Lonchura striata: one gene and its partners. The protein of the gene in region 2 purifies or fractionates together with the protein of the main gene of each other region. This does not show direct contact. Links are inferred from orthologs where the notes say so. Each region holds a gene or a part of one and is shown on either strand. Other genes may lie near its edges.

The links.
Region 1: the proteins of STK25 (region 2) and CTTNBP2NL purify together in Homo sapiens (affinity purification with mass spectrometry; 6 studies listed by BioGRID and IntAct, counting the BioPlex papers as one, with this or other methods). This does not show direct contact. The link is inferred for Lonchura striata from reciprocal best matches to the Homo sapiens genes STK25 and CTTNBP2NL.
Region 3: the proteins of STK25 (region 2) and CAB39 purify together in Homo sapiens (co-immunoprecipitation; 3 studies listed by BioGRID and IntAct, counting the BioPlex papers as one, with this or other methods). This does not show direct contact. The link is inferred for Lonchura striata from reciprocal best matches to the Homo sapiens genes STK25 and CAB39.
Region 4: the proteins of STK25 (region 2) and PROSER2 purify together in Homo sapiens (affinity purification with mass spectrometry; 3 studies listed by BioGRID and IntAct, counting the BioPlex papers as one, with this or other methods). This does not show direct contact. The link is inferred for Lonchura striata from reciprocal best matches to the Homo sapiens genes STK25 and PROSER2.

Annotation. Positions count from the first base shown.
Region 1 is NC_134632.1:5,718,724-5,726,199, reverse strand, and holds the start of CTTNBP2NL (CTTNBP2 N-terminal-like protein), read right to left. Parts: upstream 3,002-7,476; 5' UTR 2,946-3,001; exon of another isoform or gene 2,843-2,945; intron 1-2,842. UniProt on the Homo sapiens protein: Regulates lamellipodial actin dynamics in a CTTN-dependent manner. Associates with core striatin-interacting phosphatase and kinase (STRIPAK) complex to form CTTNBP2NL-STRIPAK complexes.
Region 2 is NC_134612.1:4,926,753-4,934,372, reverse strand, and holds the start of STK25 (serine/threonine-protein kinase 25), read left to right. Parts: upstream 1-4,614; 5' UTR 4,615-4,724; intron 4,725-4,730; exon of another isoform or gene 4,731-4,842; intron 4,843-5,467; 5' UTR 5,468-5,552; coding exon 5,553-5,582; intron 5,583-7,620. UniProt on the Homo sapiens protein: Oxidant stress-activated serine/threonine kinase that may play a role in the response to environmental stress.
Region 3 is NC_134612.1:2,237,477-2,245,296, reverse strand, and holds the start of CAB39 (calcium-binding protein 39), read right to left. Parts: upstream 3,012-7,820; 5' UTR 2,895-3,011; intron 1,284-2,894; exon of another isoform or gene 1,266-1,283; intron 1-1,265. UniProt on the Homo sapiens protein: Component of a complex that binds and activates STK11/LKB1. In the complex, required to stabilize the interaction between CAB39/MO25 (CAB39/MO25alpha or CAB39L/MO25beta) and STK11/LKB1.
Region 4 is NC_134607.1:67,129,822-67,137,467, forward strand, and holds the start of PROSER2 (proline and serine-rich protein 2), read right to left. Parts: upstream 3,004-7,646; 5' UTR 2,896-3,003; intron 1-2,895.

The DNA of each region.
Region 1 (7,476 bases), on a different chromosome or scaffold from region 2:
TGCTTTGTTTGCATCGGTTACTTCACACTGCTGAGGGAACAGACTGGGAGCAGATATAAAAATGAAGTCACTGCTCTAAAAACACCCACCAAAATGTACCTGAATCCTCCAGTGATCTGCAGGGAGCTTTTACAGCACCCCAGGCAGATGTCTGTTATGCTGAATGGGTCACAATCCCAACATTCCCTTTAAGGGCCACTCTGGGGAGCTGAAAATTCAGGGGACAAAAAAGCCCTATTCATTTGATGCTACTAATTTACAGAAACAAGAAGCATCTCTGGATCAGAGAGCTAATAAGCATGTATTTGAGCTCCTTTTCCCCTATCCAAATCTAAACCCAAATCCATTCCCATCCTTCCAGGATCCTGAGCTGACTTTTCCAAAGCTGCTTTCAAGCTACACATCCTTGTGCCTTCCCTCATCCAACTTCTAATCAAAAAATCACACCAACTCTATTAAATTACCCAATTCCCCCCTTGGAAACATTCTCATTCTACCAGAGTGATCTGGGCACCTCAGCTGGGGAACCTGACTCTATTTCCAAACCTTTAACCAAGACACAGAGAGCTTCCCAGCATCAGAAACAAGATCCAGCAACTCCCAGGGAAGGTTACCCCTTTACATCCAGGGAAATATTCTGAGTGCACTCACACAGATCACAAACCACAAAGACCTTGTTGTTTAGTCTGATTATATAAATATTTGCCCCGAATCTAAGATACACGGCCATTTTTGGACAATAAGCCAGAGTTTAGAGCATAAACTAAAATAATCACTTTCTGCTTGCCTGAAGGTGAGCTTCCTTTCAGCTGTGAACCACTGGAGCCTCCTTGACAGACCCATACCCACCCACAAGGAGATAAAACCTTTCTAAGAAAGTTATTTCCCAGTATTTCACTGAAAATAACCATCGAGAGCAGTTTAAGTGTCCGTACAAGCACGCGAGCCAAGAGACGGGGGAGTTATCTCTGGCATGTGCCACTTGAGGAACACACAGATAAGCTGGCAGCCCTGGCAGCTCCTCTGCACCCTCAATCACGGCGGGAGGATCATGAAACCATGCCAAGCTACATTTCACTGCTCTCACACACACAGGGGCACGAACCCACCGGGAAAAGGTTGCCAGCACAGGAGAACCTCACCCACCGACCTCAGCAAGGGCTGGAGTCACTGGCAGGAACACAAGGGGAGCTGAACGCACAGCCTGAGGCATGGGGAGGGCAGCTTCAGGATCCTCTGCGAGCCCCCAGCTCAAAACTCTTCTACTTTTAAAAAAAAACATCATGAAGAACAAAGCTTGTTGCTCCTACTTCCTTTGAAAGAGGGCATTTCCTAAACTTACACCAACGCAACAATGCCACAATGCCCATAATTCTGAATCAGCTTAATTTTCCTTCCTGTGTTCCTGAAGAGGAACTGATATTTTCCAGAAGACAGCACGGGCAGTCGTGTAATGACATTAATGGGAGAACCTAAATGACCAGTCTGAGAAGTCCTGATAGACAAGTTCCCAAAATTGCTTCTGCGTGTATCGGGTGGCGTTTGAGTAGTTTCAATAATTACATATGTCTATGCAATGAAAAAATGCGAACAGACTTAATAATTGTGCATCCACAATGCTACCTGGCATTGCATCACTACTGTGGTGGTCTCGGTTAAAATGAGAAGCGTTTATATTTCCTCCACCTTTGTATCTCAGCCCTAAAGGAAAAACGGCATTACCCTCAAAGAAACACCCTCACCACATTAGTTTTTGAAGTAATACTCAGAGGGAAGAAAATTAGCACAATTTTGACATGGATTTTGTGTGGCTCCTTGAAGCCCCTGTGCAGCAACCGGAGCTCCTTGAGAGAGAACAGAAACCATCGCTGGCTGCTGACCTTCAGCCCCGGGAGCCTCGCCCCTCCTGCCGGCCCCGACCCCGGCCCGGGACGGGCGAGCACCGCGGGTCAGCCCGGGACAGCGGCACGGCCCGGGAGCGGCACGGCCCGGGAGCGGCACCGGCCCGGGAGCGGACCGGCCCGGGATAGCGGCACCGGCCCGGGACAGCGGCACGGCCCGGGACAGCGGCACGGCCCGGGAGAGGCACCGGCCCGGGATAGCGGCACCGGCCCGGGACAGCGGCACCGGCCCGGGACAGTGGTACGGCCCGGGCCGTGCGGCACGGCCCGGGACAGCGGCACGGCCCGGGAGCGGCACCGGCCCGGGACAGAGGCACCGGCCCGGGACAGCGGCACCGGCCCGGGACAGTGGTACGGCCCGGGAGCGGACCGGCCCGGGCCGTGCGGCACGGCCCGGGACAGCGGCACCGGCCCGGGAGCGGCACCGGCCCGGGACAGCGGCACGGCCCGGGACAGCGGCACCGGCCCGGGACAGTGGCACGGTCCGGGACAGCGGCACCGGCCCGGGACAGTGGCACGGTCCGGGACAGTGGCACGGCCCGGGACAGCGGCACGGCCCGGGACAGCGGCACGGCCCGGGACAGTGGCACCGGCCCGGGAGCGAACGGGCGGCAGGGGCCGGGCTCGGCGGCTCCCGCGCTGCACCGGCCCGGTACCACCGCGGCGAACAAAGAGACACGCCGCACCGGAGCCCGCGGCCGCGGGGAAGGAAGGCGGGCGCGGGGAACACCGGCTCCATCGCCTTTCGGTCCGCCGGGCCCGGCTGGACCGGGCGGGGACGCCCACATCCCGGTAACGCCCCCCGGCCCCCGCGCCCCCGGCACCGCCCCCCGATCTCCCGTTCCCCCGATACCTCCCCTTCCCCGCCGCCCGCGGCCGCCCTAGCCCCGACCGCAGCCGCCCCCGCCCCTCTCAGCCCCGCGGGCCGCGCCGCCCCGCACCTGCCCCTGCCCACCGGGGGCAGCGCTGCGCCGGGCCGGGGCGAGCCGGGAGCGGACACGGCTCGGCTCGGCTCGGCTCGGCTCGGCTCGGCTCGGCACCGACCTGCCCGGCCCCGCGCCGCCGCCGCCGCCGCCGCCGCTCCGCTCCCCATCGGCCGCCCCGCCCCGCCCGCTGACCGACGGCCCGCCCGCCAATCAGCGCCGCCGCCGCTGCGGCCGCGGGCCAATCCGCCGCGGGGAAGGCGGGGCGTGGGAGGGCACAGCCAATGAGGCGGCGCGGAGGGCGGGGCCGCGGCTGAAAATCCCTTTTGTTCGCGGCGGAGCGAGCGGGCGGCCGTGATTGGTGCGTCACTTCCGGCGGGGCGGGGCCGAGGCACCGCCCGGGCCGCCGCCCCCGGCCCGCGGTTGTATCCCGGGCGGCTCCCGGTCCGGTCCGGGTCCCAGCGGCGGGAAGGGCCGTGCCAACCCGGGACAGGGGAACACGGGCAGTGCCCTCAGACCCCTCTCGCTGCCCGTGGCAGGGCAGTGCCCTCACAGCGACTCTGAGCCCCGGCCCCGCGTCACTGCGGGACAGTCCGTCTCCCCCGACACTCCGGGTCCTGCTGCCTTCATGGCGCCTGAACTTGGCATCACTCTGGACACTGATGGTTGGCCCAAGGACGTCCATAATATCTCTGTTTCCTTTGTGCAGCAGCCTTCTAACAGTGCTGCTTTGTAGCAGGGCTCACCTGGGCAGTGCCTCAGCTGGGCAGTGCCTCACCTGGGCAGTGCCTCACCTGGGCAGTGCCTTACCTGGGCAGTGCCTCAGCTGGGCAGTGCCTCAGCTGGGCAGTGCCTTACCTGGGCAGTGCCTCACCTGGGCAGTGCCTCACCTGGGCAGTGCCTCAGCTGGGCAGTGCCTCACCTGGGCAGTGCCTCACCTGGGCAGTGCCTCACCTGGGCAGTGCCTCAGCTGGGCAGTTCCTCAGCTGGGCAGTGCCTCACCTGGGCTGTGACTCACCGGACAATGACCCACCTGGGCAGTGACTCACCTGGGCAGTGCCTTACCTGGGCAGTGACTCACCGGGCAGGTCCTCGGCGTGGGCACCGCCCTCACTGCCGGGCACAACTTCCCTCTGGGGAGCTTTCGCAAGGGCCGAGCAATGCTCCTGGGCGGAGGTGCTGTGCAGAAGTCAGCGTTTCGATTTCTTTACCTGCCGAGGCCGATGGAAGGGCCCCGGGTGCGCTGGGATGGGCGCTGGGGGAATGCTGCCCGCGGGGGCCGCAGCCGGGGCTCGCCGGGCCGCACTGCCGAGGGCAGCGGGATTTTTGCTGCCCCAGCCGCTGACCCAGCGCTCCGCTAAGCCGCAGACAGCGGGAACGGGAGCGAGCCTTTTCTTTCTGCGGAGAGCACGGCCAGCCGTTCCGCCCCTGAGCGTGCCACGAGGTGTGCTCGGCATCGCTGGTTCTGCAGGGCCGAGAACGGTTCAGTGGCCTTCCCCGCCACCGGGAGCGCCCCGAGCTGCACCGGAGGAGGTTCAGTTGGAACGTTAGGAAGGAATCCTTCACTGAAAGGGGGATTGATTACCCACTGGAATGGGCTGCCCAGGGAGGCGGTGCGGCCCGGGCGTGCCCAGCGGTGCGGCTCAGGTGTGCCCATCTGTGCGGCCCGGGTGTGCCCATCTGTGCAGCCCGGGCGTGCCCAGCGGTGCGGCCCGGGCGTGCTCATCTGTGCAGCCCGGGCGTGCCCAGCGGTGCGGCTCAGGTGTGCCAATCTGTGCAGCCCGGGCGTGCCCATCTGTGCAGCCCGGGTGTGCCCAGCGGTGCGGCTCAGGTGTGCCCAGCGGTGCGGCCCGGGTGTGCCCATCTGTGCAGCCCGGGCGTGCCCATCTGTGCAGCCCGGGTGTGCCCAGCGGTGCGGCTCAGGTGTGCCCATCTGTGCAGCCCGGGTGTGCCCAGCGGTGCGGCTCAGGTGTGCCCAGCGGTGCGGCCCGGGCGCATCCCCGCGCTCCGGTGCCCGCAAACCTCCGGTGCCCGCAAACCTCCGGTGCCCACAAACCTCCGGTGCCCGCAAACCTCCGGTGCCCGCAAACCTCCGGTGCCGTTGGCGGGGCTGCCGCGCCCCCGCGCGTCCACAGCTCCTGCTCAGACACAGCTCCGCTGCTCGGGAGCGGCTGCGCTGGAGCTGCTTTTCCAAATTCCACAGAGCACACCTAAAACATTCACATCTCAAAACAGCAAGGGAGCGCCTGTGTTTCCTTGTATTTCCAGGCTGGCACGGACCGTCGGCGGGATCATCTGCTTGCTGGCCATTCCTGCTGCAAACATTCCTGGTGCTGCCCAGTCCCACTCCTGGGAACGCAGGAGAAAGGAGACCTTTGTGCAGAAAGAGCTTTGCGTGAGGCTGATTGACTAGAGATGAATTGAGCCTGGAAAGGTCACGGATGCATGAATTACATCAGGGAACATCTGGCACCAAAAGCTTCTCTGTTCTGGGGCTTGGTGAGGACACTTGCAAACATCTGAAGGGATTCAGAGTCCTAAAGCTCCTAGGTGGTCTCAGGGGTGGCAAATAAACAACTGCAGCCTTTAAAATTAGTGCAATTGAGAGGAAAAAAAGGTTTAATGGCTGAGTCTATACAGAAAAAAAATTAAAGATAAAGAATATATTCAGTTGCCCACTGGTCTGCATTGAGGGGGCAATAAATCATCTGCACAGGACAGGAGGAGGCTTTTGAGGTCTGGAAGACATTTCTCTCCAGGCTGTTTGGTCACTTTACACTTTGCACTTTTTAACATGCAGTAGAGGTACAGGCACAGACTGCCCAGAGAAATTGTGGCTGCCCCATCACTGGAAGTGTTCAAGGTCAGGTTGGACGGGGCCTGGAGCAACTTAGGATAGTGGAAAGCGTCCCTGCCCGTGGCAGGAGGTGGAAAGAGATGAGCTTTGAGGTCCTTTGCAAGCCAGGCCATTCTGTGATTCTGTGATTGCCAGGTGTGTCAGATAGAGGCAGAAAAATCAGGTACCCTGAGAGTCTGTGCTGGGTGGGTTTCTGGTGGAAGGAAGCAGCAGAGACGGGCCAAGGAGAGGACAGGGCCGGGTGGCTGCAGCAGCTGCTCACAGATGAGGACGGGCACAGGCCTGTGCAGGAGGTTCTGGCTCCCTGGCTCTGTTGTGGGACCTGTGCCACGAGTCCCAGGAAGAGGCAGGGGCTCCCGGGGCGAGCCTCTCTGGGGGCTGTGGGTGCTGTGGGATGGGAGCAGGAGCTCTCGGCTCTTTGGGAAGCTGGGGGGGAACCGGGAGGGGCCCCTCCGCAGCACTGGGCAGGCTCCTGTCCTGCCGGCGAGGATCAACCACCAAAAACCCCCAGCAGGGAAAGAAGTGGTAGGAGAGATTTCTCCTAAGTATCACAGGCAAGAGAGATAAACCACAAACACAAACAATTAGGAAGAAGCACATCTGTCATGTTCTTGATGTTGTCGGAATGAGAATCCATCTGGGAAAAGAGCCAGCCCTGCCTCCCTGGGAATTATGTATTTTTTCTTTTTAAATATTGTATGACATCCATCTCTAGAGCTGTGTGTTGTTTGTGCTGGCATGTGGGTGTGTATTTCTGAAGGCTCCCCATATTAACACAAGATCTATAGTCTCATTTTAGAAAATTTGCGGCTATAAAAATATATTCTGGGTTTTGACTGAGTGTTTTTCCCTTCCCTCCTGAAACTCTGGAGCCATGTAAAATAGCTTCATAAAACTTGTAGGGCTTTTTAAAGTAGAAGTTACTGCCTTGCCTTGCTTTTCAAAATGCACCCTTGATTTTAAGTGTTTGGATATTGTTTGCTTTTAAACTAGTGAATGGTGGAAAGGTACTCTAAATTCCTGTTTTATTTTGTTGTTACTGAGAAAAATCCCATTATACCAAAGGGAAATGTGAATAAAGCATTTCACAAAAATGTATGGTATATAAGCAAAAAAACCCTCAGTCTTCTAAAATTAGTGTTAAAAAAAAAAAAAAAAAGGTAGAATCCTTTCAGCATTATCCCTTGAGTAAATGGCCTCCCTTGGGAACACAGTGGTGCCCAACTGAGTGTGAGCCCCTCCTCAGCAGCAAGAAGTCCTTGCACTGGTGATGGCTGCTCAGGGCCATGGGAGTCCCGGCTCCTGGTCCCTGCTGCTTTCTGGCTCTTGCCAGCAGGACGGACGGAGGGGCAGCACAAGGTCCCCGCAGCCTCAGCACGGCTCCGCAGCTGCTCCAGCCCTGCTCCCCCCGGGAAAAGGCAGCGGGCTGCCCCGGGACCCTCAGCCCTCCGAGCCACGCTGTGGCTCCTTCCTTCCCGTTCTCTGTGAAGGGCTGCAGTGAGAGCGTGCCAGCAGCCAGGAAGCAGCTCCAGTTCAAGGGATTTGGGAAAACCCTTTTTCCAATCAGGCAATTTGTAATTTCAATTGCTAAGTGTTTCCCTTCCATTCCTTGGCACTCTAGCACCATCTGAATTGGCTTTCTCAGCACTTCAGGAAGGCTTGTCTTACATTATGTAAGATTTAACAGCCATCATTTCTCCAAAAGTAATACAGAAAAGTGTTTTTTATGACACAAGAGGGAGATTTCTCATTTGGAAAGCTGATTCTTCGTTATTTTCAAATGACTGCTTTGCTG
Region 2 (7,620 bases):
CTTCCCTGCCCCAGAGCCACCAGTGCTCCCTGACAGCACGGTCAGCACGGCGAGGGCGCTAGGAGGGCTCTCCATGTGAGGAAGGGGGAACGGGTGGAAAGGCCTGAGCTGCTGCAGGCTGAGCAGCAGGCTCGTGTCCCCATCTCACACACCAGACCAGCTGCCCCATGCCCCAGGGACATTTCACAGCAGGCCATACCACACTGCTCTGCCCAGCTCTCCCAAGGATACCTGCACAGCCTCTCCCACAGCAGTGTCATAACACGTTTCTCAAGATGGACAGAACAATGCAAATCCGGGTATTTTGAGTAATTAATACAGAAAAATCTATCAGTGCTTGAACCAACCATGAAGATTTCACAACCCAGAGCAGGTAGGATGTAGAGTGCTAGCTCTTGAGGACCTTCCCTCATGGTTTGTTTTGGCCATAAATAGCTGGAGCAAGCCTGCAGTGGTACTAGACACTGTCTACTGACCAGCGTTCTTTGCTTTTATCAGAACATGGGGTTCCAGACTAACCTTCACTGGGAGGAGCATGTACAAAGGGGGGACAATGGAGCTGGGGAAGGGTCTGGAGCACAAGTCTGATGAGAAGGAGCTGGTAGGGGCTCAGCCTGCAAAGAGCTCAAGGGCAACCTCCCTCTGCTGCCTGATAGGACATGAAGCCAGGTGGGGGTCGGGCTCTGCTCCCAGGGAACAAGGGACAGGACAAGCGGAAACAGCCTCAAGTTGTGTCAGAGGAGGTTTAGATTGGATATTCAGAAAAAATTTCTTCCCCAAAAGAGTGGTCAGCCTCTGGCACAAGCTGCCCAGAGTAGTGGTGAGCTCACCATTCTGGAGGGAGAGTGTAGGTGTAGCACTTGGTGACACGGGCTGGTGCTGGGGGAACAGTTGGGCCCAATGGTCTGAGAGGGCTTTTGCAGCCCATAGGATTCCATGATTTTGTGTCTTACCACACATTTCCATACCCACCCACCCCCTCACCCCTGTCTGACCCAAGCAGGTATGCAACAGATGGGAATACAGTAATACAACTGCAGCATTTTTACCTTCGAGTAGGAAGGCAGCTCTGAGATGTCTTGCTGAAAAGTTCCTTGTTCTCCAAAGTATAGATCAAGGGTAGGGGACATCAGGAGAGAAGGTTACAGGTGTTCTGGTGATTCACTACACACTCCATAGCAAAAGGGAAAAGCAGAGTTACTTTAGTGGGACATTTAAGAACATGTCAGACAAAGCTTCTTGTAACTATTCACACCCTTCTCTGGACTTCATAGAAACATAGCCAGGTGTGTCAGCTCATTGGGCCAAAGCTGTAAATACCTGGGTCAGGATTTCTCTTATATATGAGAATTATAAAGGTTGTCTCAAGCAGTGTTTGTTCCACACTGCCAGCAGAAAACATCAAATTTTTTAAAATAGCTGCCTTTTTACAGAGAGAAGATTTATAACACATCTCTGATAAAGGCTCCAGTTCTGTGGACAGGAAAAAGCAGACTCCATGGGCACACAAAACTTGCCATGGGAATGGGGACTGCAGCACAGCTTACTTGTAAGTAGCTTTCATAATTGATGTAGGGTTTAGGGGCTGGGTGTTGAGCAGAAGACTTATTTAAATATTACATTTTAATGTCACCAGCTTTTAACCAAGTTTTTTTTATTATTATTATCATTCAGGAGGTTAATCCCTTTGCTTTAACAGAAAGAACTAGAAAAGGGAGAAGGAAAAAAGTAACAATCTTATCCTCTTGAAAAATCATACAATAGAGAAGACTTAACTTCTAAAAAGCAGTAAGAAACCCTAACAATAGAAGAAACCCCAAACAAGAGATTCCTTTGTTTTTCAGCTTGATTTCCCCACAGAATCAAGGTTAAGGCAGCCATTCAGCACACACAGCAAATATATGAGCTTACATGTGTAGGTATTTGACTTGTCCCTACTCAAAGCTCTTGACCAATTTTAAAAAGCACGGGAACAGGAGTAGGAACACGGAAAGCATGAAAAACATAAATTTTTGTTGAAGCAAAAGTAAGGACAGGTAAGAACTTACTCATACTTGCCATGAAGGCAAAGACTAACCAGCATGATCAGAATTAGCACAGAAGGAAGGGAGAGCAGCAAGGCTGGCTCAGCCCTGAGATCCCCCTGCTCCATCAGCAACAGGGGACTCCCTATCATCCCCACCTGCTCTAGGTACAAGGTAATCCTCCATACCACCCCAACAGACCCAGGAGGAGCTTACTCTGACAGCCAGAGGCAGGAGAAAACACAGTCCTGCCCAAAGTTCCCTTTCCCACAGCCCTGTTTCCCAGGGCCAGGTGAAAGCTGTAACCCTGAACACTCAGCAACTGAAGTCTTGTAGGCTTGGCCACTCCAGCACATAACCAACTCTCTGGTGCTTTCCTCTAGCTGAAATACCTCCTCTTCTGCACTTGCTTAGCTGGCTTTTTGCAAACATGGATCTCCTGGAGGCAAGGACTGGGTTTCCTTCAGTGGAGGTAGATGGTGCAATGCACAGGTAATTTTGGGGTACTAAAGCAAAAATTATATCTACAGACATCCACAACTTGTAGTATGATTGTTCTGTAGTCACAATTGCTAAAATAAATGAAAAAAATAAAAGAGGGAGATCCAGCCCGCTAGGAATACAGCACTGACTGAAAACCAGAGAGCAAGACTTTGGTTTCAGTTGATACATTCTGGAAATAAAATGGAGGTGATGATGGATACAAACATGCCATAGACAACCATGGAGAAGTCAGGCACACCTGCTTCCCCAGAATCAGCATTTGTTTCTGTATTCTTCTGAGCACATTAATAATCCTCTCCCCTACAAAACAGGCCCAGAAACAGCTGCCTGACAACAGAGCAATCATCTCTAGTCCCTGTACCCCCAGCTTGTCCCAGACAAAGTGTCCAAAGTGACCAGCTACTGATCCATAAATGGTTTCCTCCAAGTGGTGGCCAGACCAAAATCCCACACACAACCTCTCCTGTCCCAGCCATAGAGCAACAGGCTACGAAGCGGATGAGGAAAAACACCAGCCCACATTTGAGTTCCTCTGTGTCCTGTGCTCCTGAGGCAGCTTTAGCAGTTTTAGAAGGAATTGCCATGCTAACCCCACATGACAATCACCCTTTTGAAAGACTTATCCTGAACTGACAAAACCAATTAATTGCTACTCCTGTGTGTATGTTCAGACTTGGCACATTAATTAACGTAAGTCCTCTGCCCTTCTGTTGGCCTCATGCCAACAGTGGCTGAATTAATGACTGTCCATGTGCTAAGAGGTGGAGAGCTGCGGCATTGAGGTCAAACAGTCATTAAGTAGCATACACAGGGACTCAGGGAACAGCTCACCCCTTGGTCCTTGCTACAGTGGAACCAGAGCAGAACTTCACTATCCTTCCTTTCATGGTTCACATGAAGCTTTGGTTTCTCTGTTCATAGATCTAAGTAAAGGTGCCATGCTGGGATAGTAAAGGTGCCATGCTTGGAAGAGGGCTGTTTATGAGACAAGATGGTCTGATTTTGTGGGGCTAGAAGGCTGGTCCTGCAGGTATAAACTCACGGCCCCAGCAACCCAAGGATCCTATAGGCAAGAGCTTTGTGCAAACCTCCCAGTGAGGTACAGCTGATTTAAATACAAAACCAGAATCTCACTGCGGGAGTTTTTGACACCTGTACTCTATCTATTTGATGTTTTCACTCAGGTACCTCAAAGTGCTGTTTGATTTGATAGGGGGCAGAGAAACAGAGAGAAGGGAGACGGATGGGGGAGGCAATGCAGGAGGGAATAAGAGGACTGTGGGGGAGCTGCTGGCTGCTGCCAGACCCATCTGTTCACGCAGCGACAGCTCCAGGGCTGCTCCTCTCGCTACAGCTCACCTGTGCTCCAGGGCAGCGCCAGCTCCCCATTAGAAGCAGCAGGTTGTGATAAAGGCTTTGTGTGTCGGCGCCACGGAAAACCTGTGCCTGCTTTGTTCACTGCGGGACCGGCCTTAAAGCTGCCTGGCAAGCGGCTAAGAAAAAAAAAAAAAAATTTATTCCTTTGAAAAACGTGAATCAGTCACTGACATTACAGCACGTGAAAGAAAACCCAACCCTGCGGCTGCTGAGAGCGAGGCCATGAGGGAGCTTCCGTCCCTCGCCTGTCCTCCTCCCGCTCCGCCGCCTCCCCCGGGGTCTGGCGTGCCCGGGGGTGGGGAGAGGACAGCCCCTGACCCTCACGGGCAGGAGAACAGCTGAGGGCGGGCCTCCCTGGCGTCACCCGGCGGGCTCCCGGGCACAGTCCCGTAAGGGCTGGCGAGAGGAAAGCCCCGTGAGGCTGGGCTGGCAGCACAAAGCGACTGCCCCGCCACCTCCTCCCCGTCACTGCGGGGCCGCCGGGCCGGGCAGCGCCCGCCCCCCGCGCCTCAGGACTCCCCGCCCCAGCCACCCCCGCGCCGCCGCCCCGCCCTGCGGCTCCGCCCCGCCGCTGCGCGCGCGGCATCCTGGGTATTGCAGTCCAGGAACTCAGTCCCGCTGCCGGGTTGCGCGGCGTGGAAACTACATCTCCCGGCGTGCCGCGCGGCGCGGCCTCCCCCGCCGCCGCGCCGTGTTGTTGCGCCCGGCCCGGCGCTCCCCCCGCCGCGGCTGGTGTCGCGGGGCAGCCCGGGGCGGCGGCGGCTCCGTGCGCCAGGGCCCGGCATGGCGCTCCCGTCGGTGGCGCTGCGCTGCCCCTAGGTGCGGCGGCGCCGGGCGGGGCGGCCGTGAGCCACGGAGGGACCCTGAGGGTGCCGGGCGGGGCGCGCCGAGTAGCCCATGATGGCGAGGGGAGCGCGGGAGGGGGGAGAGCTCTGAGGTGTGAGGTGGGACGCGGTGTCCGTGACGGGTGTGGGGATAATGTGGGGCCGCGCCGGGACGGGGGGTGCTGGGGTCGGGGGCCCTGGAGTGGGCTGGGCCGGGGCTCAGCTGTTGCTGGGGTGCAGGGGAGGGCCGCTGAGGAGAGGCCGGGGTGGTGCAGGGTTGGTGCTCCCTGAAGAGGAAGGTGCGTGCTGAGCAGCTGAGCTTTGCCAGTGGCCGTGCCGGGGACAGTGGGAGCGGAGGAGCGCTCTCAGTGAGGGGATTGCTGAGCAGGAGAAAAGGATTGTCTGAGGATGATGCTGGAGAAGATGCTGGGAGTGATGGTGAGGCAGAACTGTGGGGTTAGCTGTAGGAGCATGCTGAGGTGATGGTAGGGAAAATGGAGCCTGGGACTTGGTCAGTGTGTAACATTGGAGTGAGGCTCCTTGACGCATCTGGAAGGCATTTCTGTAAAGAATTGAGAAATGCGGTGTGCAAGGAGGGCCTAGCATGCTCAGAACGTGTTGGCAGGTACAAGTAGCACTTCAGCTCAAGGAGAGAAAAAAGATGCTGGTAACTCTTCAGGGGAATGAGCCAGCTTCCAAGAACCTCACTTGAGAACTATGTATTCTTGCTTGTCACAGCTGACCAGTGGAGAAGTCATCACTTTCCTGCTGTGCTGCAACATCCTAATCCTCCCTGATTTTGCAAAAACCCCATCCTGCAGGCATGGCTCACCTAAGAGAATTTGCTAGCCAGGTAAGTGGTGATTAAGAGTTTGTTTTAAAACCCTCTTTAAGGGTTTACATAATGGTATTTGCTCTTGATAAAAGGGTTTCAAACAAATAACCAGAAAATCACTTTTCGCCACTCTTTATCTCTGTTGCACAGGTCTCAGCTTACTCCTGTTAGCTGATTGACCTGTGTCTGACTCTGTACCTGGTGTTGGGCTGATAGTGATGTGTTAGCCATAAACAAAGTGAGTTCTTCACCCACTATGGAGGCTTTCTCTGGGATTAAGTGTGCACTTTTTAGGGAGATGGGAGTCATTGGCTTTCTGAGCATTTTTTGGAAGGAGAAGTCTAGAAATGGGAACAGAAAAACTGTGTATGCTGGCCCTGCCAGACATACCTTTCTAAAGTGTTCATGGCATTAGTCTCAGAAAAATGGTGCTTGTAACCTTGCTGCCTAAGAGGCAGTGATATTTGATACTGGGTCATAACTCTTCCAAGAGATCTCAGCCTCTGTGAATGTGGTTAAATGCTGCTGTTGTGATGACATTTTCACAAGAGGAGTGTGGAAAGATGATGCCAGGATTTGGGACTAAAAGCTAAACCATATTAATAGTATTGGCTTGCATCTTCTTCCCTCTGAATTTGGTTGTGTTTGATTATTGGCAGATGTCAATACTGAACACAGGTCTTCTTAAACCATGTTTGGGGGCATTATTCTGTTCTGCTCCTAGGTGCAGAATTACTAAAAGATTTAGTGGTTTGAGCTAATGCTCTCTTTGAACCTTTACTGATTTAAAATTGATTTGCAATGCATCTCAGTTTGCATGCTGTCTTTCACATCAACTGTTTCCCCAAAGTGTGTATGGAATTAAATGTAAATATAATGCCTGGCTGAGTCACTGTACAGGGAGAGAAGGGGAAGGATACTGTCTGATTAGGGCTGAGAACAGTTCTGTAGCTGCAGAGGAGGTTTCTCTGAAGCTTTTTTTTGTACACAGCATTCACTCATGAAGCTTATTAGCATTCTAGTGGTTTCAGCTCTGAATTTATTATGGAAATGTTAGGCATTCTCAGACCCTGTCATCCCATGACTGTCTGGTCTAGGAATAGAAAACCAATCTGTGTTGTCCATTCCTCCAGTCTTTTCAGGAATCCCTGATGTGACTGAGGCTTGCTGGGAGGGCAGTAGGAACTGGCCTGAAGTTTTCTTCACTGGGATTTAGGGAGCAGAGGGAGGTGCTGTGAAAATCAAGAGATTAAGACTTGCATTGGGCTGTCAGAGGCTTGACTTGTCTTTGATTCTCAGTTCTGGTGCTGATGGGCAGAGTTACCTCAGGCCACTGCCCAGACTGCTCTGCCTCTGTGGTGCCATTTCCCTGCCTCAGCTGGTTGTCTCCTCTCTTTCCTTGGCTCCCTTTGCTGTGAGCAAACAGTGCTGCAGGCCTGCAGTCTTGGTCTGGAGCTATATCTGCCAGGGGATGTAGTTGTGTTAGCTACTATGTTTAAAGCTTTGATTTGAGCTCTGTTTCTAGATTTGTTGTTCCTTACCTGACCTTGGAGAAGCCATTTAGTTTTTTTTGGCTAAGTAATGCTTCATCTCCTGAAGCAAAAGATTACTGTCTGTGAAGAGAGTTGGGAGTTTCAAACAGTGTTTTTCAAAGTGTTGAAAAACTTCCCTCTTTTCTATACTCCAGAAATTCAAAACTGTCCCAGGTTTTGGCAGTTGTAGAGAGCTATGCACAGATTTCATATAGACAAGGAAGCTTTCAAATTGTTCTAGATACAAAGCTAGTTTCACCAGAGACTGTTGGTAGCCCAGAGGTGAGTGTTCATCATGGGAAGTTGGGGAGCAGAGGAGGCAATGAAGGAAAGAGAAGAGCAGATGAGTTCTATTAAAACCAGCTTCCTTCTTCCACTGTGTTTGGCAGAGGAAAATTATGTTTGTTTGTTTGGCTGCTTGGAAAGTGCTGCAGTCAGAAATAACTCTTAAATGTGGCTGTGGTTTCACATAAACCCTTTGAAATTGCGCTCTTCCTGGTCAGCTTCAGCTCATAAAGTATTGT
Region 3 (7,820 bases), about 2.7 Mb from region 2:
AGCCCAAACTCACATGACACCAGCGTAAGCCTTAGGTACTCCTGATCGTGCATTTAACAGCCCAGCTCAAGTCCTTTAAAATAATTCAAGACAGCCTCATCTTCTAATTTAACCTTTGTGTTTGCACTTGGGGGGTGGGGAGGATTTCAGCATAAAGTTTCACCTTCTCACTGCAGACATTCAACTTCCCTTTGGCTCACACCTCTGCACCTCGTGGTGCCTGAAGCACGGTATCGAGAGAAAACATGGGCAGAGAGAGAATAACACCTACAAAATTTCAGCTTTACAATGCAGAAAGGATAATATTTGAAAAATATTCAACTCACATTTTTGCTTTGCACATTATTTACATAAATAGCTGCAGGCTGTTATGGAACTATTAATTTTGAAGGAGCAGATGAGTCAAATCTTATTTTTGATAGGTAACTGCAAGATGCCTCCAATTAGACTAAGATAATCATACTTTAATAGCTGCTCTTGTAATTAAACCATATTACACAGTGTCACAAATACAGAAAAGCAGGGCCAGAAGGGAATTCAAAAGGCCACCAGGCTTCTTCCTGCCCCCTGCTTCCAAGCAGCACCAGCTATTTCTGAAACTCCACAAAAAAGCATTATTTTAGCAAGTGTCTAAAGCCTCTAAAGCACATACAGAGATTATCAGCTTTCAGAAGTATTTTACACAAAAAAATAGGCTGCAAACAATTCATGTAAACAAATCTGCAAAACTGAACAAAGAAATTATTCAGAAGAGAAGACACTGGCTAGTAGTTCTCATATTCACCAAAATGCCATAAAAAACCTTGGGAAGTGCAACACATACAGGGCAACAGTCAAGTCTCATTCAACCACCAGCCATTAATTAATAAGAGCTACACGACAGAATGCAGAAAAAGAGACACCATTCCCTCCTGAATAAGCCAATCAAGGAATTCCAAGAGGTGCAGTTTTAATATTATCACACCCCACTGGGAATATACATTTGTCTGGGCTTGATAATACCCAAAGTGTATAATTATCTCTCAAAGACATACTGTCACAAAGTATTACTCAACTGCTGCTTTTATTTGTAAACATACATATTTTTACAAATATAAATTCTGTTTTACACAACTGTGCACTCAACACACACAGAACACATCAAAATTTCAGAACTTTGTGTCAACATAAAGAAGAGCATGTCATTAAACTTAAGAGAAAAAAAATCAATGCTATCAGCATTCAGAAAAACTCAGCAGCATGCTAGTCCATATGTACAAACTCACATTCTAAGACTATCCTGCTTGTCCCAACACCACCAGGCGTGACTTCCTCCTGTCCCAAGGTGCTTCTGTCTGACCAAGGAAAGCTCCAACAACAGGTATGTTACACTAGTAATGAGATCCCCATCAAATACAAATAAATTTAAGTCAAGTGCATCCTAGCTGGCTGACCCAGTCGTTTCTCACACCACACAAAAACCATGAAGCTAACTGTGAAATACAATATTCTTCCAACAGCCAGTCCACGGCAGGCAGAAACCAATCAAGGCACCATCACGCCACTTACAGATCACGACAGGTGCCATCTTCTACAGGACAACTAAAAACAACAAAAAATCAACTTACTCCTGAGCCCATAAGAGCTTATTCTACTTCACAAATACTTTGTGGCCCTTTTCTTCTTCTGCAGTTAAAGGCATGTGCCACACCAAGAAGTATTAGGTAATAGATATCAATTAAAGCTACACAGCGTTTTAAATAGTAAAAAGCTATTATTTAAAAGCTTCGATACCAAGGTGCAAGCTCAGGATGTTACATTTCCTCTGACTACATGAGCTCTAGGTGTTAAAAAGGAAGACACACTTCCTGATAAACCACACTGCTAAGGATCTTGAATTAAGAGTTTCTGACATGTAAGTTTAAAAAAAACCCCACGTGCAGACAAAACTTTACCACATTTTGATGTTAATCAAATTTAATTTCTGATCTACACTGAAACTGTTCTTCCACGCATTGTTATTTGCCTCACTGAAACTGAAGAGCCTAGGTCATGTAATTTAATCTTTGACTCATCATGCAAATTAAATCACACCATTCCCACAAGACAGCATATAGGTTTTAAATAAATCCTGGGCACCTACATGATCCCTCACCAGAAATTAAAATATAATTTTTTTTTTAAATAGCAAAACCGGATACATCCTAGTTCCAGTACCGGCGGCATTCCGCCGATCTGCAGGGGAAAAAACAATGATAAAACTTTTCTTACGGAGCAGCGAGATCAGGCAGCGCTGGCTGGCTGTGGAGCAGCCTGCCGAGCGACCAGGCTCCGAGCAGCGCTCCCGCACGGCCGCCGCTGCGGAGGCCCGTCGGGGCTGCCTCAGAACAACAATTGTAGGAAGAGGCCTCGGGCCGGAGCCGAGAGGCCGCGCAGGGCAGCGCCGGCCGCACCTCCGGCCGCTCCGTGCGGCAGGGCCGAACAAAGAGCGGCGGTCGCGGCAGCGCCCCCGGCCCGGGCCGGCGCGGCCCCTCCGCGGGAGCGGCCCGGCGCTGCGGCTCGCTCGGGCCGAGCCGGGCGCGGCTTCGCGCTGATGGTTCCCCGGCTCGGCGCCCGAGCAGCTCGGGGACCGGGGCGCTGCCGCACGGGAAGCGCAGCCCCGGCCGTGCCCTTCCCCTCGGGCTGCCCGGCCGTGCCGCACGGCGCCCCCGGAGCGGCGGCCGCTATCGCCGGCCCTGCCCTCCGCCCGGGCCGGCGGGACGCGGCCGGGCTCTCCCGGCGCCGAGCGGACAAACGGGCCCGGAGCGCGGCGGGCACCGGCCGGGCCGCGCTACCCGCGGCCCGCGGGGCACGGCCCGGCCCGCGCCGGACAATGCCCGCGGCTCTCGCCCCCGCGGCCCCGGCCGCCCCAGTACCTGTGCGTCCGGCGGGCCCCGCCCGCCCGCTGGCGGCTCTCGGCTCCGGCGCTGCGGCTGCGGCAGAGGCGGCGCGGCCCCGGCTCGCCCGGCCCGTCCCCCCCGCCCCGCGCTCACGGCGTCGCACCGGCCCGGCCCTGCCGCCCGCGCTTCCGGCCGCGCCGCGGCGCCGCAGCGCCCCCTGCCGCCGCGGCGGACCGCGGGCCGCCGGGCCCGCCTCGGGTCTGGCCGCGCCCGCCTCGGGTCTGGCCGCTCCCTCGCGTCGTTGTTCACGGCGCTTTTCGTCCCGTGAGCGTCGCAGGATCACCGGGGCTGGAAGAGACCTCCCACATCATCCGCCCCAGCCATCCGCCCGCTGCCACTGCGCCCCTCAGCCACTCAACCACAGCGCCCAGCCCCAGGCGGAGACGCCTGTTGAGCGCCTCCAGGGTGGGGACTCCACCAGCTCCCTGGCAACCTGTTCTGATGCCTGACCTCCTGAGCACGGAAAAATGTATTTCTAATATTTTATCTGATTCTCCCACCCCAGCTTAAAGCCATTTCCTCTGGTCCTCTCACTGCAGACGTGGCAGAAGAGACTGGCCTCATCTCACTACAGCCTCCTGCCAGGGAGTTGTACAGAGCAAGGAGGTCCCTCCTGAGCTCCTGGAGACTGAACAACCCCAGCTCCCTCAGCCACTCCTCGTAAGACAAGTGTTCTAGACCTCTCTAAACCTCTAAACCTTGGTGCCCTTCGCTGGACATGCTCCAGTACCTCAATGTCCTTTTTAAAGTGAGGGTCCAAAACCTGCACACAGAACTCGAGGTGAAATTTATTCCTTTATTCTTTATTTGTAGTTAACTGCCTTTGTAATTACTATTTAAATTTTATTTATCGGTATTTATTCATTTGTTATTTGTACTTACCATTCTTTTCATCATTTTTACCCCACTCTGCCCTGCCCTTTTGCAGACCCTTCACACCTTCTGTAGTGTCACAAAACTTCTTTTCCATGCCACGACCCTCAGGGCTTCAGTGTGGGGTTGGAACTCAGCATCGTGCTTTGGACATGGTCTGATTGTCCTGATGCATCAGGTGCTAGTGATTTACAGCCTGGATGTTTTCTGCAGTCCCCAACATGGCATGGAAGCACTCCAGACTGGTTTTCTGTCCTGTATGTAATACTCACCTATTACTGGAACTGTGACAAATGCAAATCAGCCTGGATGGAGACAAGCCCACACCTCTCCCAGCATAGATCAAGTTGATATTGTCCATTAGTGCAAAACAATACATTTAAAGCAGAAAATATATTTTTAATGGAACAAGTAATGAATTTCTTACAAGCCACGAGGTGAAACCTTGCCCCAGGAGACCTGATGCATCACTGGCATGCAGCCATGTGGCACCTGCTTTCCCAAAATGTCCATATGCTTCTAGTGAGCCGAAAACTTATATCTTCAGCTTCTTCTTGATTCCGTGTCTCACATCCCTCTGCTGCACTTCCCTGTCTCAGTGCTGGGGAGGGTTTGGGTTGGGTTTCTCAGTGTTGAGAGCGTGTTGCTGCTCTGAGCTCCACACGTCACAGATCCCTGGCTGGTGAACCTCAGATGTCAGTGGGCAGAGCTGCCTCTTGACCTCTTGGAGGGTCTTCATCAGCTGTGTGGACATGGAAAAATGCATCTGAGCACACTTGCAGCCACACCAGCATTCAACAGCAGGGGAGCACAGAGGGGCAGGCACTGGGTGGTGGCACTGGGCGGCTGCAGCAGCACTGGTTCCACAGGATACTTCCCTGGACAAGCACCACGGGCTCCGCGTCCAGCCTGGCACCATGCTGGAGCCACGGGAGGCTGCCCCAGCCAATCCTGCCATGGTCAGCACGCCAGGGGACAGGACATGGGCATATAAACAAGTGTGTGTGCATGCATAGCATTTATTTATATCTACCTCCTAATATTTATTATATTTATTTATTAATATTTATTATATTCATTACATTTATTCCTAATATTTATTATATTTACCTCTTATATAATTTATATCTACCTCAAATATTTACTTGGTGTTGTAGGAAGATGTAAGAGATGTAGCAGTACTGGATCTGAAGCAGGAAGGGTCATGGTGCCTGTACAAGATGATGGGACCTGGACTCACATGTGGTCAGCAAAATTTTAGCAGCTCATATATCCCACTTGTGAGCTGAGAATACTTGATTTCAAAGCCAGCAGGAAAAGGGTGTGTATATCTGAGTTCAAATGGTTAACCCATACTTAGGCTAGAAGCATTCAGGTTTAAATGTAATAATCAGGGTACTGAGGAGAGACGAGGAGTTAAAGGGGAGCACTGTTAAAGGGATTCAATGTCAGCTCCTGGAGAATAGACACTACGGCTCTACAAATGACCACTGGAAAAGAGATCACACCAGAAATGGGTTCAGTACAATTGCCATCCCTGCACACGGCAGTGAAATCCCTGAGCAGAGGGAGCATGATTTTCCTAAGCTCTTAGAAGCAGGGATTAAATACAGCATGTGAGAGAGCTCCTTGCACACTAATGATTCGCTAATTCACAGCCATTACTGAGAGATCCATTGTGAATTAATTAATTCTTGCAAGTTAGGAAGTGAGTAAACATTAAAAAAATCCAAGTTACTTCACTGGGGGGAAGAAAAGGTATTTAGAAAGGCAAGTATGCAGGTGCTTTGATTAGGAAGGATAGAGCTGAATGGGATCCTGGGGTTTTCTGCTGCTGGTGGGGGGCCCAGGGAACCCTAAAGCTCAGCTCTAACTCCTCCCATCACCATCCCACACCAAAAAACAGCAAAACTGGAGAAAAACAATATGTCAGCCCATGAAATTACCCCTCCTTCAAGCAGCTCCATTTTGCTGCCCTCTTTTCTCCTTTCAGCCCTTACCTCACACACAGGGCAGCTGTTCCCTCCTGGAGGGCCATGGCAGCTCTGCCCTCGGCTCTCCACAAGGCCCTGTAGCCATTTCCTGCTCTGTCTTCTCTTTTCCATGGCACACACGAGCCCTTTCCCCTCGTGGCTTCCCTTCCTGTCCCCACTGTCCTGCTGGCAGCAAACCCCAAGTGCCTCTTTTGTCCCACACAGCGTGTCCCAAACTGTGTCCCACAAAGCATGTCCTGCACAGTGTGTCACATGCACTGTGTCCCACGCAGCGTGTCCCAAACTGTGTCCTACACAGCATGTCCCATGCAGCATGTCCCACACATGTCCCACACAGCGTGTCCCACACATGCCCCACACAGTGTGCCCACACAGGTGTCCCACACAGCAGGTCCCACGCAGTGTGCCTCCGGCCCTTGCAGCCAGCCGCACTCTTTGGGGTGTCACTGCCCCAAGTTTTACTGGTGGTGTCACAGCTGGAGCTGTGCCACACAGCTGTCACAGGTGTCCAGCACAAGCCCCGATTGTACAGAGCTCCAGCTGTGCCGGGAGCAGGCAGGGAGCCTGGAAAACTCCTGTGCTGTGGCTGTGTCACCCACGCCATGGGATGGATGGACTCCAGGCCTCCATGGCCTTCTGACACAGATCATCTCAAAAAATACTCTGGCTCCTCTTGCCTGCTGTCTGGAGGAACACACGAGGAGGGAACAGAACCAACACCCAGGAGGTGTTTTAACTGGGCATGGACTGGTGTGATTTCCAGAGCAGAGCCCATGTTCCTGGCTCCTGACAAAGTGCTTCAGGGAGGAAATATTACAAGTAGGGACAACTGCAGTTATGCTAATTTCTTCTGCTTAAAGTTCAGCAGAAGAAGAATCCTGAGTCTTTCCATGGACTTTGAACCAAGCTGTAGTGGCTTAATTTAATCACGAGTGCCTCTGACAGTTCCTGAAACTGCATTTCACCCATTACTGCCTGGAGACATTCACTGCAGACTCCTAAAGCTTTTCTCAAAGAAACATCTGTGGGTGAGTATTTTTTTACATTTCAGTTCATTCAATTAATACACAATGAGCAGACTTACACACCCAAAATCCTATTTATGGTAGAAAACACAATTAAATATAATTGTCTTTCATATCACTTAAGAGTTTTTTTCCTCATGGAGATTCAATGATTTATCTTTAATTTAAAGTTCCAATTCAGAATTAGGACACATTTTAAAAACATTATAGCAAACTACAAGAACTAATGGTTAGCATGTAAACATTGTCAGAAAAGAGAAAACAATTACCTGAAAAATCAAAGAAAAAAAATCTGGTGCAAATCCCTTTCCTGGAAAGCAAGTAATTTTAATAAACATTTTATTACTGTAGAACAATTGAAAGTTATCTGTTATGCACAACTTCCAGGGAGGATCTACTACTGAAGCCAAAACAAGGTTTTCATCAGCACTGTAAACAGGAAAGGAAGTAAAAGATGTCACCCTAAGAAACAGCAAAATGTACTGTAAGATGTACTTCCTGACCTAAAAACAAAAAACAAAACACCATACACAAAAAAGCAGTCAAATACAGCCATTAATTCAATTGAACTGGAAGCAAATACAGTAAGAATCCCAAATCATGCAGAAGGACACAAGGCTGTGAACACTGCTGAAAACGACTGTTGGGTGATTATTTTTAGATGCTTTCCCTGTTCTTTTACATTTTAAAGAAATTACAAGGTGACTAACTTTTCATATTTAAGTAGTGCCTGTTAAACTTTGAAGCTCACAGCCTCTGGATAACACTGCTGTGCACTTGCTTCTCCTTTTACCCCTTCAAAGGGCTTTGCAGAAACTGATTAATTAGCTCTTACAACAGAACCCTGTCAGGGGCAGGGGTTTAGTACTGCCCTTCAGCTGGATTCAGGCTCAGCTAGCACAGGAGCCCTTCCCACATCACTTGACAGCACCAACAAATACATACATGACCTTTTCTGAGACTCTACAGCTTTTCTGCACTTCTCCTCTGTTGGAATTTGTGGTATTGAT
Region 4 (7,646 bases), on a different chromosome or scaffold from region 2:
CCCAGCTCACTACATCAGCAGCAGCATCAGCTGAATCTTGCTGCCTGAAATGAAGGCCAATGGCAAAGGCTCCTACACAACATTGTGGATGGAACCACCACAGATCTCTGAAGTGCTCACATTTCCCACTCATTGAGAGTGACAGAATCACTTCCTGCCCCAACTAAAAATAAAACCACAGCCAGTGACAAGTAGTTACTTTTCTGTAGATTAAGGTCTTACCTAAGGGCAAAGATAAGGCTTTCACTGGGACTCTCCAGTTGAGATTTGATAACCAGCACCTGCTCAGTGGGAGAACTGCATGTGATACCCAGAGCTGCCTCTCCAGTCCCACATGGGACTTTAAACACATCCAGGTGATGGCTGAGCTCTCCTCTGACTTCAATTTGCTTCATGCAAATTTCAACAAGGAAAGCGTCCCATTCTTTTCAAGTTACTCTTTTTAAATCTCTCCTGTTAACATTAGGGTGGTGCTATCTGTGACAGCCAACACTTTAGAACCATGAAGTGTACATAAACAATTTTAGGCACAGACGCCTCTGTAATTAGTCAACTTCTGTCTTGTTACAGGTGCAGCATTACTGGGGTTTAGGGTTTCATTATGTAACTGCTGCTACAGTCACAGCAATGGTGAGCCAAATCCTGTTTTACACAGTATTTAGGATAGCAAGACAATTTTCAGCCCCAGTACAGCTGTGTCACAGTCTCACAACTGATTTTAGGCTGCTCTTCTATGTTTCTTTTTGTGACTGCTGTGCTGGTGTGGGGAAGAAAGCAGAGGACGTCTGAAGCACAAAGCATGGGTGTTTACTTTAAAAATGAACTAATTTTGGACATTTCATTCCTATGTAAGTACATAAAGGTCTGTCTGCCCAAGGTAAACAAAGCTGAAAACAGCACTAGCAAAAAAGAGCAGTAGAGTCTTGGCCCTGGACTTTACTTGATACAGGGATCATCCATACACACCCAACTGAAAAGAATATATTTAAGCAGTTAGTTATACTGGAAATTAAAATCACTTGCTTTTATTTTTTAATTAAAAAAAAAAAAAAAAGGAGGAGAGAGGATTTGGTAACAGTAGCAGCCTGTCTGGCTGGCTTTGAAAGCCACATTCATATGCTCATTTATTTTCATGCTCCAGTATTTCAGAAGGTCAGTCAGCCTGAGACTTGTCAACTGCTCAGGAGTTAAGTTGTTCCAGTTACTATATCCAACCAGCAATCCATCTGCCAACATTCTTAGTTAATATTTCTCTCAGAGGCATGCAGAGAAAAAGCAGCTATAACTAACAAGATGAGAGGAGTTTTACTACTGACAAAACAGATGCAATATATAAATCTCTCTGTTCCTTTCTAATGCCAGGCATTACTCGTATTTCTAGTCATAAAAATTAAGTCTACTCATTCACTCCGTATAGTAAAACCCCCAAACAAATCCTTGATAAGAAAGACACTGCTGGGAAAATGTATTCCATTTCTGAGAAATAAATAGTATCTTCCTTTCATAGAGACCCAAGCAAGCAACATTTTCCCCCCTTTCATTGTTTAAACATCAGCTCCCCTCTTATACAACAGTAATTCCTGTAAAGGAAGGAGAAAAGCCACAATCATAATTCTTTAAAGTAGTGCCTGTACAAGCAAGGCCATCTACAATGCTGCATTAGTCAAGGATCTGTATCGAAGTCTTAAAATAATACCTTTTTATAAGCATAAGCCAGAAATTGCAAAAGCTTTTAAAGCTAAAACTTACACTTTAGGGTTTAGAAAGAAGTCTTTCATAAAGAGAGGGGAAAGGAAATAACTGTTACATTTCTGATACTTGCTGCAGCTTAAAATCCTTGGAAAATGTTTAGAAAAATTCGGAAGAGGCTGTTTTATCTCTTTCCTATTCCATCTGCATGCTTGTTACCACAGGAATCATCTCTTGCTACACCCATGCACAGAACCAAGCACAAGAGAGCTCCACTTCCAGCAACCTCCTCTCGCTGCCACACTAAAACAAAAACTACTCAGGAAACATGCCCTTGAGATCCTGGATTACTGAAAATCCCAAGAGCGTTTTTAAGGCTGTGCTTTCTCTTTACGGGCACTAAACCTCACCCAAACCACCTAAGATCTTAAGAAGCACCAGCTATCTCATGCTTATCACCTCCAGATGGAAAAGGCACCTGGAGGGGGAAGGGGAAAAAGGTATCCTGAACTAAAACCTGCCAGTCTTTACACCAACAGCTTTTCCACTGGAAATCCTAAGTTGCAGACAAGGAAAGCAAAGTGGAGGCATAAGGCAGCTGCTCCTCATCACCCTTAGCCAGGCAGGAACAGCATACATCAAAGTTTTACAGGTATGAAACGTTTGCTTAAATATAGTTTCTTAAAGTCACCGATAAGCAGAAGAAAATTTTAGGTTATGCTAGGAAAGAACAAGAAATCCACGGGGGTAAAAAAATTTAACAGCTCAACAGTGGGAAGCCAAGCCGCACACGCGGCAGGGCAGCAGTTCGCTGATAGTTTTTCTGCTCCCCGCCCGCGTACCAGAACGAACGCGGGCCCGCAGCCGCTCCGCGGGGCTGGGCCGGCCCCTGCGCCCTGTCCCCGGTCCCGCCGCCACCCAGCGCACGGAGCGCCCGGCGTCCCGGCCGCCGCTGCTCTTGGAACAGGAGGGAAGAATAATTAAAAATCCATTAGTGGGTAATAAGAGCAACACCGGACCGCTCCCGTGGCGGGCTGGCAGGGGCGCGCAGCCCCGCGGCCTCTCCCCGCAGTGACACCGAGCCGGGGGCAGGCGGCGCGGGGCGAGCTCGCCCCTCACGCCAGCGACCCGAGCCCCGGCGGGGACGAGCCGCGGGGAGCGGAGCCCCCCTCAGCCGGGAGCCCCCCGAGGAGGGGCGGCACTCACCGGCTGCGGGGTCCGCGCCGCTCCCGGCGGAGGACGGGCAGGTGGCCGGAGCAGCTCCGCCGAGCAGAACTCATGCGCACTGCGCCGGCCGCCACCCACGGCGGGCGGATAAAGCGGCCGGGCGGTGGCTCGGCCCGGCCCGGCTCCGCCTCGCCCGGGCGGGACCGCCGCCTTTGTCCCGGCGCTCGGGGCAGGGCGTGAGGGCGGGAGCCTGCCCTTCCGAAAGGCGGCCGGGGCGCCGCGAGGAGCGGAGCTCGGTGTGTTGGAGCTACGAAGTTCGTCAGGGGTCTGGAGAATCTCACTTGTGAGGAAGTAGGGAGATGGGCCTGATCAGCCTCGGGAAGAGGTGACCGAGATAGGAGCTCATCAATGTCTATCAGTATCTAAAAGGAGGGTGTCAGAGGCTCTGCTCGGTAGTGCCACCCAGTAGGACAAGAGGGAAAGGGCAGAAACTGATGCCCAGGAAATTCCACCTGACCATGAGGGAGAATTTCTGTCCTGAGCAGTGACCGAGCACTGGAGCAGATTGTCTGAGAGGCTGCGGAGTCTCCCTCCCCGGAGATATTCCAGAACAGTCTGGACAAAATCCTGTGCTTCACCGCTGAGCTTGCTCCCGACCCGGCCGACTCTGTGATTCTGTGTCCCTCCAATGCGTGGGGGACATGGGTCTCCACAGGCACCCATGAGACTGTGTCATGAGACACAGAGAGCTGCGTGCGTGGTGGTCCCAGTGGGAGAGGGGACAGTGACACCTTTGGCTGCCTCAGAGAACCCCGAGGTAAAACCTGCCCCGATCATGCCCAGGGAAGTTGTGGCTCCCCCATCCCTGGAAGTGTTCAAGGCCAGGCGGGGTGGGGCTCTGAGCAACCTGGTCTAGTTGAAGATGTCCCTGCCTGTCGCAGGGAGTTGGAACTGGGTGATCTTCAAGGTTTCCTTCCAACCCATCCCATTCTATGGTTCTATGATTCTGTGAGGCATAAACTATGTTGGGTTTGGTGTCTGAGGGGCTTGTCCCTCCACTAAGCTGCTGGGAAATGGTGAGGGTAAATGAGAAAAATCACTGTCACGACTGCCTGAGTCTGCCTCCTCAGTGGGGAAAAGGTTTACATGCCTTGTTAATCTGTGCCACCCATATACTAAAGAGCTCAATAACAAATATTGCCTATTTGTACTCTTATTTATTACTAATGTATAGTCACAGTCACAGGTATTTATCAGGTGATTGTGTCCACTCCCTTCTTCAATGTGCAAGGCCACAGCAGCCAGCAAATTAGCAGTTTGAATTCTATTGCACTGTAAAAATTTCAAGCTGCTTTCAGAAATCATTATTTTTCACCCACGCTGTGGTGGCTGAAATATTCCTAACGCAAGAAGTACTCAAAGTGTGGAAGACAGAAATGTTTTAAAAAGATGTGGGCCTACCCAAATAAATGGCATTACAGAACAGGGAAGGGGGAGATATACAATGTGGGTCAGTGAGGGTTGACAAGGTAAGCCCATTCCCAGTGTGTAATTTTTTTTTCAAGTGTTCTTCAAAGCTACAGGAGCAGTGTCCAGGAGGAAAGCAAATGATTAAGAATCTAGTTATGTAATTTTTGGTTATGTTGAAGCTGGTGCCTAATCCAAGCTTTTTGGTCATTCTGCAGCCAAGAGAGAGAGACTTTCCACCAGTGGAAGAGAGGCTGGACAAACCACATTGTAAGAAAATCTGTCTCTAGTGGTTGTAGTGGTGAAACCTGACTTGAATCTTGTGTGTCTCTCTTGTCTGGGGGCCCAGCTTAGAGCTTGCTGATGTTAGGCTAAATGAATCCCATCTTTCTCTTTTATTCTTGGCTCTGACAACAGCTTGGTGTGGGATCATATGCCTGTCCTGCGTAACAACTCTTACACAACAGCACAGGAGAGGAAAGCTCCTTATTTCATCAAGGAGCAAAGTGGGAGTGGTGTCTATTGCATATAGCATGGACACCCCAGCTAAGGAGAGCATCTCTGTTCTGGGAACATTTAATTCAAAAATATACTTAAAGGCAAGCTTGTACTTTACAGATTTCCAGTATGGGAACATCAATACACAAAGGGAGAGTGCTTTGAGATTCATCAAGGTAGAATGTTAGATAACGTCAATGTATTATTTTTGCAATGTATTATATGCTAATTCAACCTGCCTGAGTTAAATTTCTCCTTACTAAGTAGGACATCATTCTGAGGAAGATTTTACAGTTACAGGGCTTTATCAGCTCCACAGTGTTATTTTCTTTATTTCTTGATTTACTCTTATCACCTTGTAATATCAGGTGTAGTCTCACATTAAAAATGTGCCCTGTCAACAGGTGAGTCCAAAAGAGGTTTTTTGTCCTTTTGATAACCATTTGTATGTTTTTTTCCCTCTTTCCTCATTCTTCAGCATTACTGATTACTAGTCCTGGCACTGAGTTTATTCTAGGAGACCAGCTGTGTGTTGACACATTCTGTCCTGAAGGTGGGGAAATTTATGGAGCACAGTTCCAAGTACACAGCCCATTACTGTGTATTATAGAGAACTTCCCTCCTCTGCTCGGTGAAAACTCGTTATACCAGTTTAAAAATATGTCAGGTATGCATCTCCTTCCCCCAGCATTAATCATTAATTAACATGTGATACTGACATTTCTGGTTGATACTTAATGTAGCAAAACAGTATTTTATGTGCGTTTCGAATTTCTTCTATCGTCCTCCTGCCTCAGTGGAGGGTGACACATCCAGCTGTCAGTGTCTGTACGCTGTAATGCTGCCCAAAACAGAGGCACAAGAGAACAAGCCCATGTTCATAAAACTCCTCTTGCCAGTCTGACTCCTTTGCCTTGTGTTACAGGCCAAAATTTGTGTTTCTTCTCACAGAATGTGCTTGTTGTATTTACTACTGCATATAACTGAGAATTGACACACTAAACTAAGCAACTGTGATCAAAGAGGGTCTTAGTCACCTGATTTGGACTTTTTTCACGAACAGTTTTCATTTGGGGTCTGTCTTTTCTTTTTCTCTGTATGTGTCCTGGATTTGATAAGAATTGGTAGAATGGAGCAGTCAGAAAAAAAAAAAAAAAACAAACCCCCAAAACTTAGACTGATGGGAAGCTATCTGGTTTTTACTTGAATTTCAGTAGACATAGAAAGCTCCATGGTTAAAGTTCAGAGCCTCTTGTGTGAGGCAGTGTATGGAAAATAAAAGAACAGGCAACAGATAGACAAAATAGGGAAATAAATGTATACTGAGATATGAGATAACCATGAAAGAAATAGGGTTTAGCCAAAGTGAAGGTCAGGTTACATTTATAGTCATTATGGTTGACTTAGTGTTGTGATAAACATGGTATTATCATGACTTGTTATTTGCATAAGAGTGGTCATAGGAAACCTCCAGACAAGAGCATGGCTTGTTGTACAAAGTACTGTACCAACAGCAGATCACTATTATTGTTTACAATCCGTAATCCCACACAAAATGTGCTCCAGGACTGATTCATACAACTTTTCCCCTTGATTGACCACTTCCTTTTTTTGGCTGGGCACTAACAGCCAGAGCCAAAGGAAGGCTTCAGTGTCACAGCACTCCTTGCTTTTGAGTGCTCAGCTGGCAGAATGCATTTCCAAGCAATGAGATAAACTTACAGTAACCAAAACCTGGGGCTTTGCCTGTGACTCAGTAGCAGTCAGCTATCCCAGCCCAGATGTCACTGCTGCCTCCCTCCTGCCAACTCTGTGGCTTTTGTTTTGTGGTCAGGCAGGTTTGTGTAGTGAAACAGCTTAAAACAAACAAAACAAGGTTGAAAGCTCCCTCCCCAAGTTTGCTGATGACACTAAACTGGGTAGTGAGGTGGACATGTCAGAAGTGACAGTAGTCTTGCAAAGACACCTGGAAGGGCTGGAAGAGTGGACTAGCAAGAACTGTATGAGGTTTATTTGACAAGACAAGAGGCATGGTCCTGCACCTGGGACAATATAACCAAGAACCCATTAGAGGCCAGGCCACACCTGGAATACTGTGTTTGCTCCTGATCTATGCAATTCAAGACACAGTCAGATTGGAAAGGGTCCAAAGAAGGGCTACCAAGATGATCAAAAGGCTGGAGAACCCACCCAGTGAAGAAAGGACCAGTTAGGTCTTTTCTGCCTGGAGAAGACTTTGGGGAGACCTTATCAGAGTAGTCCAGCACTTAAAGGGTTACCACAAAGAGGCTCTCTCTTCTCAAGGACCCACATGGAGAAGACAAGTGGCAATGAGTACAAATTGCTCAAGAAGAGGTTTCATCTTTATATGAAAAACAGTTTTTATGCTGAGAACAGTCACTCACGGGAACAAGCTCCCCAAGGAACCAGGTGGAGCTGGAGGTTTTCAAGATGTCACTGAACAGGGTACTACATAATCTCAACAAGGCTCCCTTCTCCATGAAAAACTGGACTTGATGATGTTTTGAGGTCACCTCCAGCCTGGGCCATTCTATGATTCAGTGATTATTTTTGGGAGGTGCTCGTATCTTTTTATTTTTGCCCAGAAGTTTTTTTCATTTGGTTTGACTGTTGTGGGAGAAAATACTTAGGTTGAGGGAAACAGATCTGAAACTAGATTTACTGCTGTAGGGACAGGAATATCTTTGAGCTGTAGAGAGCAACTTCCATCCCTCTCCTGGGTGATCAGGGTACATGTGTGGAGAGTGAGAGATGAGTTTGAACAGTCTGGTGGTTCAGAGACAATGGAGTCTTCTAGATGGGCA